Linked DNA regions of Ovis aries. The protein of the gene in region 3 interacts with the protein of the main gene of each other region in a pairwise test. Links are inferred from orthologs where the notes say so. Each region holds a gene or a part of one and is shown on either strand. Other genes may lie near its edges.

The links.
Region 1: the proteins of TRIM54 (region 3) and INPP5J interact in binary tests that used the Homo sapiens proteins (3 or more experiments, as listed by UniProt). The two-hybrid records come from large-scale screens. The link is inferred for Ovis aries from reciprocal best matches to the Homo sapiens genes TRIM54 and INPP5J.
Region 2: the proteins of TRIM54 (region 3) and UBE2I interact in a two-hybrid assay, tested with the Homo sapiens proteins (3 studies listed by BioGRID and IntAct). The link is inferred for Ovis aries from reciprocal best matches to the Homo sapiens genes TRIM54 and UBE2I.
Region 4: the proteins of TRIM54 (region 3) and FAM161A interact in binary tests that used the Homo sapiens proteins (3 or more experiments, as listed by UniProt). The two-hybrid records come from large-scale screens. The link is inferred for Ovis aries from reciprocal best matches to the Homo sapiens genes TRIM54 and FAM161A.

The regions. Positions count from the first base shown.
Region 1 is NC_056070.1:69,884,642-69,888,660, reverse strand, and holds the start of INPP5J (phosphatidylinositol 4,5-bisphosphate 5-phosphatase A), read right to left. Parts: upstream 2,802-4,019; 5' UTR 1-2,801. UniProt on the Homo sapiens protein: Inositol 5-phosphatase, which converts inositol 1,4,5-trisphosphate to inositol 1,4-bisphosphate.
Region 2 is NC_056077.1:1,565,900-1,569,996, reverse strand, and holds the start of UBE2I (SUMO-conjugating enzyme UBC9), read right to left. Parts: upstream 2,802-4,097; 5' UTR 2,688-2,801; intron 2,324-2,687; exon of another isoform or gene 2,084-2,323; intron 1,861-2,083; exon of another isoform or gene 1,780-1,860; intron 1-1,779. UniProt on the Homo sapiens protein: Accepts the ubiquitin-like proteins SUMO1, SUMO2, SUMO3, SUMO4 and SUMO1P1/SUMO5 from the UBLE1A-UBLE1B E1 complex and catalyzes their covalent attachment to other proteins with the help of an E3 ligase such as RANBP2, CBX4 and ZNF451.
Region 3 is NC_056056.1:34,378,223-34,380,721, reverse strand, and holds part of TRIM54 (tripartite motif-containing protein 54), read right to left. Parts: intron 2,222-2,499; coding exon 2,050-2,221; intron 252-2,049; coding exon 156-251; intron 1-155. UniProt on the Homo sapiens protein: May bind and stabilize microtubules during myotubes formation.
Region 4 is NC_056056.1:46,300,795-46,305,038, reverse strand, and holds the start of FAM161A (protein FAM161A), read right to left. Parts: upstream 2,802-4,244; 5' UTR 2,717-2,801; coding exon 2,519-2,716; exon of another isoform or gene 2,512-2,518; intron 1-2,511. UniProt on the Homo sapiens protein: Involved in ciliogenesis.

The sequences.
Region 1 (4,019 bases), on a different chromosome or scaffold from region 3:
CTCCTGAGGAGTTTACAAAAAAAAAAAAAAAAAAGATTTCCCCTTGATTAGATGAGTGAAGAAGTCTGTAGTGGTCCTGATTACTGCTGGCAGTCATCTTGACACCAGGCAGATAACTGTGCTAAGGACAAACTGATGTTATGGAAAGCAGAATGGAAAGAGATCAGGCCTTGGTGACGTTATCAACCAGATCAAACCTCATCTGAGCCCTCCCTCCCTGAAATATTTTGTTATTTGAACCAAGAGATTCCATTTATCATTTAAGCCCATTTAACTTGCGGTTTCTGTGACTTGCAACCTGGAGCATCACAATTCCCAACTGATATTACTGTTTTAGAGCTTAAAAAAAAATTAACACCATAACTGAACACTCTCCATGTCATTCAACACTATGCCACATCATTTTAAACAACCGCTTGATTCTGCTTTGTGACCCTATGGACTATATAGTCCATGGAATTCTCCAGGCCAGAATAGTGGAGTGGGTAGCCGTACCCTGGAGAAGGAAATGGCAACCCACTCCAGTATTTTTGCCTGGAGAATCCCATGGACGGAGGAGCCTGGTGGGCTACAGTCCACGGGGTCGCAAAGAGTCAGACACGACTGAGCAACTTCACTTCACTAGCCTTACCCTTCTCCAGGGGATCTTCCCAACCCAGGCATCGAACCCAGGTCTTCTGCATTGCAGGAGGATTCTTCACCAGCTGAGCCACCAGGGAAGCCCAAGAATACTGGAGTGGGTAGCATCTCCCTTCTCCAGGGGATCTTCTCTGGATTGAACCAGGGTCTCCTGCATTGCAGGCAGATTCGTTACCAACTGAGCGATGAGGGAAGCCCAACCTAAGCAAGCACCAGCATTTACTTATCTCATCCCCTGCGATGACATGCTTCTGTCCAAGCTCGTTTTTCCCCATTGTAAACAGTGTCTTGATAAACATCTTAACCTAACCATTGATTCCCTCTCTCAAGATTACTTTGGGTCAAATTCTGAGAAGTGTAATACTGGGTAGAAAAAATATTTTTAGGGTTTTGATTTAATGTGTCAAGTTGCCTTTCAGAAAGCTTGGATGGATTCCCACTTTCACAGCAGTAAACAGTGTTAGACATAGCTTATCATTTCAATAATCTGGATAGAACCAATTATATTTACTGTGTCCTCATGTATTTATGGACAATGAATATTAAATAACAGCCCTAAGCCTATTATATCTTCACAATCAAGTCAGTGAATGGGAGGTAATGATATGAATGAAGGGCTCTAGGCAGACCTGACTTATCCATGAGGTTTAGTGTCTATGGCCCATCATACTTTTAGGGGCCCACAAAAATGTTTTAATTTTAATTTTTTTTTTAAATCGGAAGAAAAAAATGAATGAATAATAATGAACCTAGCCTGGATTATATTAATTTCTTTTAAGATCAAAGCAGTTGTAAAATTCAATTTAAAAATGTTTATCTAGCTGCATCACGTGGCATCTTCCTCGCAATCACTAGGGAACTTTCCTTGGGGCAGCAGGCTCTCTAGTGGCACATGGGTTTAGTTGTCAGGATTGAACTTGTGCTGTCTTTAATTACGAGGCAGAGTCATAACCAATGGACCACCAGGGTAGTCCCTCCAATGTCTAATGTAAGATATTTTAATAAAGGAAGGGGCCCAGGAAGGCAAAACTACTGAGCTTCCGTGAAAGCCATAATGCAGCCTTGGCTGGATGCTGAGAATTCTGAGTTCCAGTCCAGATTCAGTGGGAAAAAAGCACTGCGACCAGTGCACAATGTCTGCCTGAGGACTGAAGAGGGGAAGTGACATCCTGATCTAGTCGTCTTTGTCTTGGTGACATGAACACGGGAATGTTTTGGGTTCAAATCCAAGACCTACAATTTAATCGTCTTACCTTTCTGAGCCTGTTTCCTAGCTTGTAGAAAGGAGATCATTGGGCCTTTTTGAGGTGCTGTGACGGTACTGTTCTAAAGAGCTCTCTCATGTGCTGCTGCTGCTGCTAAGTCGCTTTGGTCATGTCCGACTCTGTGCGACCCCATAGACGGCAGCCCACCAGGCTCCCCCGTCCCTGGGATTCTCCAGGCAAGAACACTGGAGTGGGTTGCCATTTCCTTCTCCAATGCATGAAAGTGAAAAGTGAAAGTGAAGTCGCTCAGTCGTGTCCGACTCTTCGCGACCCCGTGGACTGCAGCCCACCAGGCTCCTCTGTCCCTAGGATTTTCCAGGCAAGAGTACTGGAGTGGGGTGCCATTGCCTTCTCTGCTCTCATGTGTATTAACCCCTTTATCCTCCCAGCTCCGACGTAATATTCCCATCGCCATAACGTTTGCCCAGGAAATTAAAATCCAGACCGGAATCTCATCTAGAGAAGTAAAAAAACAAAACAAACAGAAAACAACACACAAACAAGGATTCCCCAGGCCTTAGTTTCCCCATCTTCCAGTCGGGTGTCTGACCCAGAAACTCCGGTGCCTGTGCGCCTCCCGCCTGCGCCCTCTGCCGGCGAACCGGGGCACTGTCTGGACGCATCCAGTCGGAGCATCCATCCTGTCGGTCAGCAGAGGGAGGGTGGACGCTGTTGGGACCCGGAAAGTAAAGCTCTGCGGGCCAGAGAGGAGCCCAAACCCCGCCGGGCCGCGCGGGCGGCCCCCACGCAGGTCCTGGGCGGAGACCGAGAGCAGGAGGCGTGGTCCCTAACGGGGCGGGACCTCCAGCGGGGACCCGGCCAGCTCTCCGGGCCAGACGTGGCGCAGTGGCCGGGCGGTTCACCTCCAGCTTGCGGACCATCTTCGGCCGGGTTTCAATGCACCTCCCGCTGCCTCCGCCGCCCCTGCTGCTCCTCCTCGCGGCAGTCGCGGCCGCCACCACCACCTTCCGGCCCGACTGGAACCGTCTACAAGGCCTGGCCCGAGCCCGGGTAGAGGTGAGTGCGGCGGCCCCCCAGCCTAAGGACCACCGCCCCTAAGCCCCGTGACTCCTTAACTTCGCAATCACTGCCCGTTCTGGCACAGGACTTTCCAGACTCCCTCGTTCCCCTCGGACCCGGGACTGCCCCTCCCACTTCCCAGACCCAGAACGCCCCAGCACCCACCGTGGGAGCCCCAGACACCCGATCTTGCGGCCTGGAAATCTGAACCCCTCCCTAGCGCCCCATCTGGCCGGACAACGGGCCCCTACACTTTGGCTCTGTCCCTTAACTTCTGGCTAGTGACTCCCAAATCTGCCTTCTGGAGCCCAACTTCCCACCCGCCCCACCCCTCCCCCGCCCCAGTCCTCTTTTTTCCTGGAATTCCTCCCCACCCCAGTTCCGGTTGGTCTCTCTCTCTTTCCCCGGAGGGGAGGGATGACCTTCTGGGAGCCTCTCTGCCACGCAGGGCAGGGAGCTGGGAACTGCCTCACTGCCTTACCAACACTTGTTCCTCAGGAATCCCTCCGCCCTCCCCTGCCAGGGAATGCCCCATCAAAGTCCCTGTCTGGTTGTGTGACTTGGATCGTCACAGACCCTCTCTGGGCTTTAGGTTTCTCCCTGAAAAAAAAAAAAAAAAGGGTGGGGGGAGGGCAGTGGAGGGGGTGGAGGGGGAGGAGAAAGAAGGCCTGAAGAGGACAAGAATGGTAGTCCTAGGGTCTGGACTCCCATTGGGAGCTAGCTCCCCTTCAGGGAGTATGGGAGGGGCCTCTCGGGGAAGCAACCAGATGGTCTGTAGGGCTAGGCCGCAGGTGGCAGGGAGGGCCGGCTTGGCTCTGCGTGGGCTGAGGCAGGGACCAGATGGTAGGCGTCTCTAATGGGGCCTCCCAGGGAAGTTCTGAGATGTTTCCTTCTGGTCGGCCTCCACCCTGAGGTTCTTGGGGCCACAAGCCTGGCCCAGGTCTCTACTGCCTGAGGGGAGTAGGGTGATCATTTCTCTTGGGTCAACCTGGTGCCAGTGGTAAAGAATCCACCTGCCAATGCAGGAGATACCAAGAGATGCGGGTTCGATCCCTGGGTTGGGAGGATCCCCTGGAGAAGGGAATGGTAACCCTC
Region 2 (4,097 bases), on a different chromosome or scaffold from region 3:
TCAACACAAGGGAAAGCGAGCGTGAAACTCTAGCTCCCACGCAGGAGGCCTGGTGACAGGAGCTGCTGCCCGGCTCTGACCACTGAGGACACTCTTCAAAGGCTCTAACCCTGCCCAACCTCAAGATCAAGTCCCAAGCAAGAAGGCCCACACCCCAAAGAGAATTTCTCTTTGCCACCCCCGAACCTCCAGTCCTGGCCCGCTCACCTCCTCCTCATCTGTGGACCTGATGGACAGGACCCTGTCTGGGGTCTCCTTCCCTACACGTGCACACCCATCTGGTATTTTCATTCATTCATGTGATATAAGTTGAAGACCACAAGTGCGGCTGCCCGAAGGCTGACGTGGGCGTGCTGGTGCCCCTGGGTCCTAGTGGTGGTTGCTGGCCACCTGGGCACTGCCTGCAGCACCAGACTGTCCACAAACAGGACAGAGTGGGAGATGCTGGGGTCACTTCCCTCAGGTGGGGAGCTGGCAGAGCAGAGGGGAGTGCCAAGCAGCTTTCAAGTCCATGGGAACATGAGGGCAGTAATCCTGAAGCCTGAAAACCCTTCACTTCACATCACCCTTCTAAACAGAACTTGCCCCCGCCTCATCACCAGGGCAGATGGGAACGCCTCTCCCTCCCCTGGTGGGGGCTTAGGGATGTGCGGAAATCCTACAGGAGCCCCTCACGGGCCAGGACCACCTCTAAACTGTCCCACACGGGAGCTCAGTGGCAGAGACAAGCAGCCTGGCTCTCCGTGCACTGTGAAGTTCCTGCTGAGTCTGCGCTCAGCAAGGCTTCAAGACTGGTTCCTGGAGCCTGGGCAGCACATGGGTTCTGGAATGGGCAAGCTGGCACTCGAGGGCTCTGGAGCGGCATGGCTAGGCCAGGATGTAGAAAAGGCCGGTGGGGTGATCCTCAGTGCCGCATGCCTGCTGACCGCATGCCAGGACCCCGCCACAGGCCACCTCTTCTACTGACAAGGAACAAAGCCGCCTCAGCAGACCCTGTTGGGGCGCCAGCTGTGACTGTCTCAGGTGCAGAAAGTAATGGGAGGGGTGTCCCACAAGAGCTGCTGCAACCCCGTCCTTGGGGGTGAGAACCAAACTGGGCACCTGAAAGACAGATGCTGCAGCCATGGCGGAGTCACAGGCGCACACCTGCCCCCGCCCAGAGAGAGGCTGGCCTCGCTGCCCAGGAGAAAGCAGCCAATTTGCTACATTTTAATTACAACACGGAACCACTCCTTCAGCATCCCACTTAGAATCCAATCAGCTTTTCCCAACTGACAGGGAGGCACTTAAGGAGCTGTTAAGTGTGCGCAGTCTTCAGGGCAGCAAAATCACTAAGAGGCAAAGATCGGGTATCTATGACCTGCTAGAGACAGCCTGAAGCACAGGATCCGGGTCTGGGGCAGACCCTTGAAGTCTGCAGCCACCCTTCTCCAGCGTGGGCTGTGCTTGAACCCACGCTTCTCAGATCAATCTCTGAAGCCACTTACCGGCTGCAGGTGAGGGCCAACGGCTTCCCTCTTCCCCTTCAACCTTCTCACCGGTAAAACGGGCGATAGCACTGTGAGCCCAGAGGTCGGCCCAGGATGAAACCGATAGAGGCTCGCGGCCCTTGGTGGGCTTTCCCACCCAAACGTAAGCTCGCCAGGAGAAGGAAGGCACTGGCTTCACCTGCGCTCAGGAGATCCTCCAGCCCAGGGGCACTTCCCTGGTCTTTCCTGACACGCCTCCCAGGACGCCCAGCTGTTTCCAAAGCAAGCCCAAACCCCCAGCGAGACTCACGTGCAGCACGATGCAGAATTCACCCCCAACCCACCCAAAATCAAGTCAGCACAAACGTGGGCTCCTTCTCCCCCTGCTGCTGGGCAGGTTCTCCGTCCAAAGGCAGTTTCCTTGGGAGCAAGAAACACAGAGGACCACGGGCTTAAGAGCAGACCAACGAAAGCCAACTCCGCAAACCGGGGAGAAACTGCCAACGGAGCTTGTTTTCAAATCGTACAAACCAAACCAGTTACTTCTGTGATTCAAGGACAGCTGCTGGCCGTTACCATCAGCCCAGCTAATCATTCCCTCGCCTTCCTCTTACTCGCGAAAACTATCAGCTCCAGCCGCCGTGCAATTGGTATAAAGCGGTCTTGGGACGAGATCTCCCCGTCAAGGGAAGAGCGAACACTCGGTGGGTCCCCCGCAACGGCGAGCGGAGCTCGGAGGCGCAAGAGCTCTGGCTTGTTTTCGTTTCCAGGCATCACACGCCACCCCCAAACGCGCCGGCGCTCCTGCAGCGCGCGGCTTTGCACTCTTTGTGCAGCGCGTCCTCTACCAGGCTGGAACGCGCCACAGGTTCGCGCGCAGACCGTGACCCCGGAAACGCTCCGCCTGAGCGGAGGGCTTGGCGCTCCTGTCAGCGCGGCCCGAGCCGAGCGCGCCGTCGGCCGCCCCGGACGCGACTCGCCCCGAGCGCGCGCCCGGAGAAGACGCCCCCACCTCGCGGGCCGAGGCCGCGGCGGGCCGGGGGCCGGGCTACCCGAAGGGAGCCCGGCGGGCTGGCCCCCGCCGCGGCGTCAGCAGCCCGGGGCGGGCCGGTCCCCGGGAACGGGCCGGGCCGCGCGCGGAGGGCGCCTGCCCGGCCGGACCCGCCGGCAGCGGAGTTTTGGGCCCCCGCGGCCCGGCGCCCGCCCCGCGGCGCTCACCTCGGGCGGCCCGGCCCGGCGAGCGAGGCGTACTAGGCGGCGGCGGCGGCGGCTGCGCTCCCTTTGTCTCGGGACTTCCCTCCCGAGCCCGCTCCGCGCGCAGCCCGAGCGCTCGAGGACCCCGGCGCGGGCGGGGCGGGGCGGGGCCTGCGGGGCCTGCCCGCCGCGCGCCTGGCTCGCACCCCGCCGCCGCCACCGCCAGCCCCGCGCCGCCCGCGCCGCCGAGCGCCGCCCGCTGCCCGTGTCCCGCCGCCGCGCGCCCGCGCCCCGGGCCCCGCTCGGGAGCCCGGCCCGGAGGCGGCTTTCCAGTCAGGCGGCGCCATGGACACCTGCGTCCTTAAAGGGGCCGCGTCCCGGGTGTGAGGGAGCGTCTGCAAACTCCCCTTCGCGGGGCACTGTTCCTCGCGAGGACCGGCCGGGTAGCGGCGGGGAAGCAGGGCGGCCGAGATCTCCCCGGGCTCTCCGGATGCCCCGCGGGCACCTCCCCAGGCAGCGGTCCCGGAGGTCTCCTCGAGGCTAGGGCCCGGGGCGGAGGAGCAACGACCACTGAGGCCTAGGGATCCCCCAAGCGTCGCAGCACGGTGACAATCTCTCGCCTACGGCATGCTGTGAAACCCCTTGCGATTGGCCAACTCGGGGCCCTGGGCGGGGCATCCGTCTAATGTGCCCAATGAGCAGGCCCCGTACACAAGACCAAGTGCGGGCCCGACCGACGGGAGGAGAAGTGCAGACGCTCCCTAACCCAGGGGCTGGCCTGGGGGGAGGGGCGCCGGGTGGTCCGGGCGGGTGGGGGAGGAGCAGGGGCAGGGCTAGGCCCCTGTGGCCGGGGTCTCAGGTCCGCCCCGAACCCACGCGCGAACGCTTGTCCTTCCCGGCCACGCTGGGCGCCTCTCCGTCTAGCGGCCCCCGACCCCCGTCCCCTGGCCCAGAGTGGGAAAGAGGGAGCGTTCCAAGGTCAGCCCCTCCGCCCGTGGGCTCTTTGGGGTCAAGTGGCGGGAGGTGACCGCCCCCCCACCCCGGCCCCCAGCTTGCATTCATTCACCCCTTCGCCCTGGGTCTCCTCCTTCCTCCGTTTCCTTCCATCCTCCCCACCCTCACCCCCGGCAGCCCCCTATTTGGCACTGTACTGAGACTATTGGCCTCCAGGGCAGACCGCCCAGCACCGCCCCCCCCCCCCCCGCCCCCGCAAGGCTAGTGTCCCAAGGCCCACGTCTGGGCCAGAGCTCTCAGCAGGTGTTCAGCGCTCCCAGCCCGTCTGTTACAGTGAGGATGGTCACTAGCCCTGAGAAGGCCCCGGGCTGGGCGTGGGGTTGAGGTGGGGGCGTCTCCTGAGGCTGGTAGCTCCGCTGGGCTGGGGAGGTAGTCTGCCTAGGGTGCCTCTGGGTCAGCTGTGGCCCAGAGGGCCTGGTT
Region 3 (2,499 bases):
AAACCCAAACACTAAGAAGTTAAGTCACTGGACCAAAGTCACAGAGGAGGACAGAGCTGGGATTCAAACCTAGCAGCCTGGGTAAGCACATTCTACTACTTGTGATTCACCTCCAGTAGCCCAGCAACTTTCCCTCCCTCCCTTTCCAGGCTCACCTCGATGGTCTGGCACACCTCCTCCATCTGTGTGATCACTGCTTGCACACGGTCATTGCCGGCCACCAGCATCGCGATGCCATCGCTGAGCTCACTCTGCCACACACAGAGGCCAGCACTCAGGGCTGGAGGACCTGGTCTGGAGCTAAGCCCCTCCCTCCCTCACCAGGGCTACCCAGGAGAGGACTGTCCCCTCCACTCCACCATCAGGGCATCCTCAGGGAAACTCTGACAGAGATCTAGAGAGTTTGGAACCATTCAAGAAGTTTGGAAGCACAGTCTATAAATTCTGGAAGGAAGTGGAGAGAGGAAGTCCTCCACCACCAAGTGAGAAAGAGACATTCACCAAATATCCACCAAATACCACACACTGGGCTGCATGCTTTATCTTCCATCAATTTTGAAAAAGTCTTCAGGATTTTCCTTTAAGATAATATTGCCTCTTCTGCATTCTCTTTATTCTCTCATTCTGAGACTCTGATATCTAATCAGAGTACCTAATATATCTAGAGTATCAGATATATCTAATCATATATCTAATATGTTAGACCTTCTCATTCCCAACCTTCTCATCTCCCAGTGCTATATTCTAAGCTATTTTTTCAGTCCTCTCTTTCCCTTTTAAAATTCTTTTATGTGAAAAAAAAAATTTTTTTTTTCTGGCCATGCTGTGTGGCTTGTGGCATCTTAGTTCCCCAACTCAGGCCCTCGAGAGTGAAAGCACAGAGTGCTAACCACTGGACAGCCAGGGAATTCCCCAGTCCTCTCTTACTGAGAGAAAGTTGTCATTTAATTCATCCCTTGAATGTTTTGTTTTCTACAATTATATTTTCATTTCTAAAAGCTCTGTTTGGTTCTTCATCAAATCTGCACTTTTGATAGTCTATTATTGCTTATTTTCAAATTCCATTTTTTAAAGCATTTTATACAAAGCTGACTTTACATTCTTTAATAATTCCAGTATCTTAATTTCTTGAGGGCCTAAATCTGAAAGTTTTGTTTCTGCTGACTTCACTCATGAGTACATTTCTTTGTGTATCTTCAATCGGGAGCTCATCTTATGTTGATCTTAATCTAAGAAAAACCCAAGGCCTAAATTGAGGGTTTTTCCACCAGGCAGAATTTGCATTTGCTTTTGTCAAAAGCCAGGTGGCACAACTGCCCACTTTAGGGATTCCTGGGATTCCAGTGTATCCTGTGATCCTTGGGGGTCTTTGTTGTAGGTCCCCCAAGTTTCAGGAGTTTGTAGGCATAGTCTCATCTGTCTAGTTCAGTAATAATTTGCCCTGTGGGAAATCCTGCCTTTCCCATGCCTATCATATTCAGGGTTCTGTTCACATCTCTCTCCCCCTCCTTCTCTCCCTACCTCACCCACACTTGGAGCTTTCCTTTACTTTCTACCTGTCTATCAATTTAATTTTTATTTTATTTTTTCAATTATTTTTTTAAAATTAACTGATTAATTAATTTTTTTGGCCATACTGCATGGCATGTGGAATCTTGTTTCCCCAACCAGGGATTGAACCAGTGCCCCCTGCGTTGGAAGCTTAACCACCAGACCTCCAGAGGAGTCCCTTAATTTGTAAATAATGTTTTATGTAGAATCTACTTGTATGACAGTGTGATGGCCTTGAGAGTTCACCATACTGCATCCATTTCTCGTATGATCCTTACAACTCTCAAGTGTAAGCATTTTCATGCCCATTTTACAAGTGAGGAAGAATTTTAGGGCCAGAGAGGTCAAGTGACTTACCCAAGGTCACACAGTGAGCTGGGACTTCAGCCCTGATCTGCATGCCTTTGAAGTCAAGTGGAGTAAGAGGCTGCAGTTTGAGATCCCATCCTGTGTCCCCACCCCCACCCCCCCATGCTTGCTCCCTCTGCTGCTTGATACCTTCTGGCGTTTGTAAATGGTGGGCAGTGGGGCCACCTCACAGTCCTTGTGGGCACCAAAGACCTTGCAGAGAGAGCAGGTGGGCACTTCACAGCTCAGACAGTAAATGTTGATCTTCTCGTCTTCATGCTCCTCACACATGAGGTGCTGCTCAGCCTTGGAATGCAGTGGCCTGCGGGGAGGCAGGCAGTGTAGGAGCAGGGGTCAGGGGCCAGGCAGGTGGGGCAAGTGTGTGAGGCCCCCTGAGCGCTTTTTCTTCAGCCTCCACCAGCCACTGCCACCTTGTGCCCCGACAGCTGCTGCTGTGGCTGGGCAGGCAGATGACTTCCTCTTCACTTGAGGAACAGAGCTACATACAGGGTACAGGAGGCCCAGATCCAAGAGTAGTTTCTATTCCAGGGGGCAGGAAGTGCCACAGGGAGGGAGGTCATAGAGGGTTGGCAGGGACCT
Region 4 (4,244 bases), about 12 Mb from region 3:
ACTGACTTACTTGAAAAGACCCTGATGCTGGGAAAGATTGAAGGTGGGGGGAGAAGGGGATGACAGAGGATGGGATGGTTGGATGGCATCACCAACTCAATGGACATGAGTTTGGGTAGACTACGGGAGTTGGTGATGGTCAGGGAGGCCTGGTGCGCTGCAGTCCATGGGTTGGAAAGAGTCAGACATGACTGAGCAACTGAACCGAACTATGACAGTTAGTTCTACATAATCAATTTTGTGTGATGGCTATGGTAAGCTGAGTTAACTCCATTTTATAGACGACAAAGTTGAGAGAAACTAGCGTTTAAAAATCAAGGTGAGATATCAAGCCAAACTGTGAGGAAGGTAAAGCTTGTCTGCTGCACTTTCTTTCTTGCCTTTCCAGTGCTTTGTCTGCCCACCCCAGTGTCTCCATCAGGTCTACTGCTATGTGCTGCACGCTAAGTCACTTCAGTCGTGTCAGACTCTTCGACCCTATGGACTGTAGCCTGCCAGGCTCCTCTGTCCATGGGATTTTCCTGGCGAGGATACTGGAATGGGTTCCATTCCCTTCTTCAAGGGATCTTCCTGACTCAGGGATCAAATCCACGTCTCTTACATCTCTTGCACTGGCAGGCAGGGGGTTCTTTACCACTACTACAGTGGCAGCTGATCCAGATTTCCTTTTGGTTCCTTTAAGTACTGTGGTCTCAGAATAGCGTTAAACTTAGCTTCCTTTTTTCTTTTTTAGTGAGACACTGTCCCTTAGAAACTAGCTTATTAGATAAACTGATCTCTCCTAAGGTAATATTTCTAATACAAATTTGCAATTTTACAGGGTACTCTGGAAGTATACTTGCAACCACAGAAATGACTGACTTTTCCACTACAGCAAGCCAGAAGAGAACTTAATCTCCTGTTCTCTTTTGGATAGGTGTTCAAATAACAGCCCCACTGGCAGCTGTTATTATTATTACTAATTTATACAAACTGTCTTTTAGCTATGACATATGCTCTTATTTCGTTCTCATAATACCCCAGTGAGAAAAGAAAGACAGTTATTTTAGAGCTCTTTTATAGATAAGGAAACAAACTGAAAGAAGTTACATCTTAATATTAACTAGCAAATGAACAGATCCTAACCCAGGACTCCAAATTCTTCTCTTCATTCAAATCATTTTTCAACATCAGTCCACCTCCTTCATTGGGTATTGAAATTTGAAGCTTTATCATGAATGAATTTGGTTGTAGGTCACTCATTCTGGTTGAAGTTCAGGGTCTTTGAATCTGCTTTACTCTGGATAACCTCAAGCAGTTTATCTGTTGGTAAAATACTGCCCATAAAAGGTGTTACTACAGATTTTCTCATTACCATTTCTAGTGCAGATTAAAGAAATTAGAATTCCAAAATATCCAGTGATTTCTAATAGCCTTAGACCACAAGATCCCCTGGAGAAGGGAAAGGCTGTCCACTCCAGTATTCTGGCCTGGAGAATTCCATGGACTGTATAGTCCATGGGGGTTGCAAAGAGTTGGACATGACTGAGTGACTTTCACTAGACTACATGTTTTTAACCTAAGATGCTTTGAGCAAACAGTATTAAGAATTTGGGGGGACTTCTCTGCTGGTTAAGACTCTGCACTCCCAATGCAAGGGCCTTGGGTTCCATCCCTGGTCAGGGAAGTAGATTCTGCATGCCACAACTAAAGAATCCACACAAAGGTTGCATGGAGGCAACTGAGTCTCAGCACAGCCAAATAAATAAATATTAAAAATAACAAAAGAATCTTTACCTGGGGTTAAGAAGGTTTATACCTGCAGATTGCTGGTTAAAATTCAAAGTTCTCATCTTTTAAGGGAATAGAGCAGATGGCAGACTTGGCCCCCTACCTGGCAGACAGGTGTTCACAAAACACTCGACACTGAAAATCGATCTGTGAAAAAGCTGTTTCTCCTCACTCTGAAGAGCCGTGTGGCAACACTGGAGCCTCAGTAATTTGCTTCTCTGGAGGCTTAACTCTGTTTCTGATCTCCCCACTAAACTCCTGCTGGTTTTAACCATCATCTCTCATGTATTGTATTAAGACGCACTAATAACCAAGACATTGAAGTGACAACAAAACACACCTGACAACACAGCTGATTCACTTGCGTTTTTTGGATTATTCTCTGTAGGACAGCACAGTTTTCCTCGAGTTGAAAGGAAAAAGAAAAAAAAAGAAAAGAAAAGAAAATACCTACTCCCAACAGTTGCTGGAGCATAAGAATAAATTTCTGTACTTTTCATTAGAAATAGCGTAACGTAAATGCCCTCCAAGAAATTTTTACAACAACCTCTTTGGTTAAAAGACTTTTCAACGCCTCGGTTTCGAGCATTTTCCGTGAGGACCCAGAGGACTTGGTGGGCCAGGCTCACCTGTACGGGTCAGGACAGGGTTCGCATTTCCCAGCCCGCGCCTCACCACCGGGGGTCGCCGATCAGCCTCCAATTGCACCCGGCGCCCAGCCCCACCCCACTGCCCTCCCCTGCATTACCGGCGCCCGCGCCAGCCGTGCCGCCGCCTCTTTCTCTTCTTCTTCTTCCTCCTCTTCCTCCATGGCCGCCGCCGCCGCCGACAGGGAATTCAAAGGGTCTTTGCGTTCGTACTGGGCGACCCGCGCTCCGGTGTTGGGATTGACCGGGGTTTGGAGACTTCTGGCCGCCAACTTCGCCGCTCGGTGCGAAGCAGCCATCACCGCGCCGCCGAGGCCTGAGCGCCCGCGCTGGCCCGGGGCGGGGAAGCCGGCGTGGCCGCAGGCGCCCGATTGCTCTTTGCTTAGGGTGGTGGTTACTAGGGGCCCGGTAACTAGGGACGCTACAGGGGCCGCGAGGGGCCAAAAATCACTTAAAACCGGCGCCCGCCGCGGGGCCCCTTGGATAGTGGGAGTCAGTATTGAGTCTTTGCTGGTTTAGAGGATTGGTCGGGGGAATAGGGCACCTGGTCCCTCTTCTTCGCATTTCACCCCCTAAATGCAGACTTCTCACATTACACTAATGAAACGATTTGTGCTGTGGGGCTTTTTATTCATTGAAATAATATGTTTGGAGGAGGTGGCGGCGGCAGAAGAAAGCAGGGCGTGTTATCGTGTCGCGGTCTCGGGACAATGGTAACGTTTGCATCCCGCGACCTAACATGGCTCTCCAGCGAGCCGGAGAATGGGAAGCCGTGAGTTACTTTCTACCCTGACTTGAAAGCTAACGGAAGTCGACCAATCTGGAGGAAGGTGGAGCCTGGTCCACCCACCAGTGACTGAGAGTGCAGGTGTGTGTGACCCGAACGTTTGCTGCTTGGGTTCCTCCGCTTTATAGTGGTGGGGATCGGAAGGTGTAAACGCCCACCAGTAGCCACAAACAAGCCTCATCTCCACCTCACCCCCAACAACGTCTCCCACTTGGGATTTGGGCGCTTCAGATGACGCCTTGCCGCTACACCAAGCGCCTGTAAAAGAAGCCTAGCCTTAAAATATCAGGCGTGGTGGTGGTGCTGCTGCTGATGATGCTAAGTCGCTTCGTGGTGCAGTGTCAGCCAAACCCCTACTTCCTGAGGCTGAGGCCCCAGCCACCCCCCACTCCTGGCCCTACAACCTGCTGTCACCACCACAAAGTTAGGGTACGCAACGCGCAATATCCAGACCCCTTCTCTGAAGTCTGAACCAAGTATTTCTTCCATCAGGAATGTAAACACTTGCGAAACACCCTACTCCCTCACCTTTCTGCAGGCTGCTCTTTGTTTTGGCTGAGGATTTGCTTTGACCACTGGAACAGACACCGGCTGGATTCTTAGCCAAAGCTAGAGTTGGAAGCCCATGAGGTATGGACGCTGCAAATGACCACAGAAGGGACGTCCAGGCGTTTGCATGCAGCGAGTTCTGTGGCTGCACGTAACCCTCTTGTGATTTGACCCCGACCCCAAATCAGCATGCTGAAACACTGAAAATAGAACATTAGAAGAGAGTGGAAAAGAAGCAGTAAGTGTGGAGGACATATTGTATGTGTATGTAGAAGAGCAAAAAAGCTTCCACTCGTGAGCAATATTCTAAATTTGCAGTTATCTTTTAAACTGTTTTTACTGAAAAATAGTTGATTTACAATGTTGTGTTAGTTTATGTACAGCAAAGTGATTCAGTTATATATACATAAATTTGCAGATATCTAATAATATAGCCTCAAAATATATAGAGCAGAAATGGACAGATCTACAAGAAGAAAATGACAAATCTT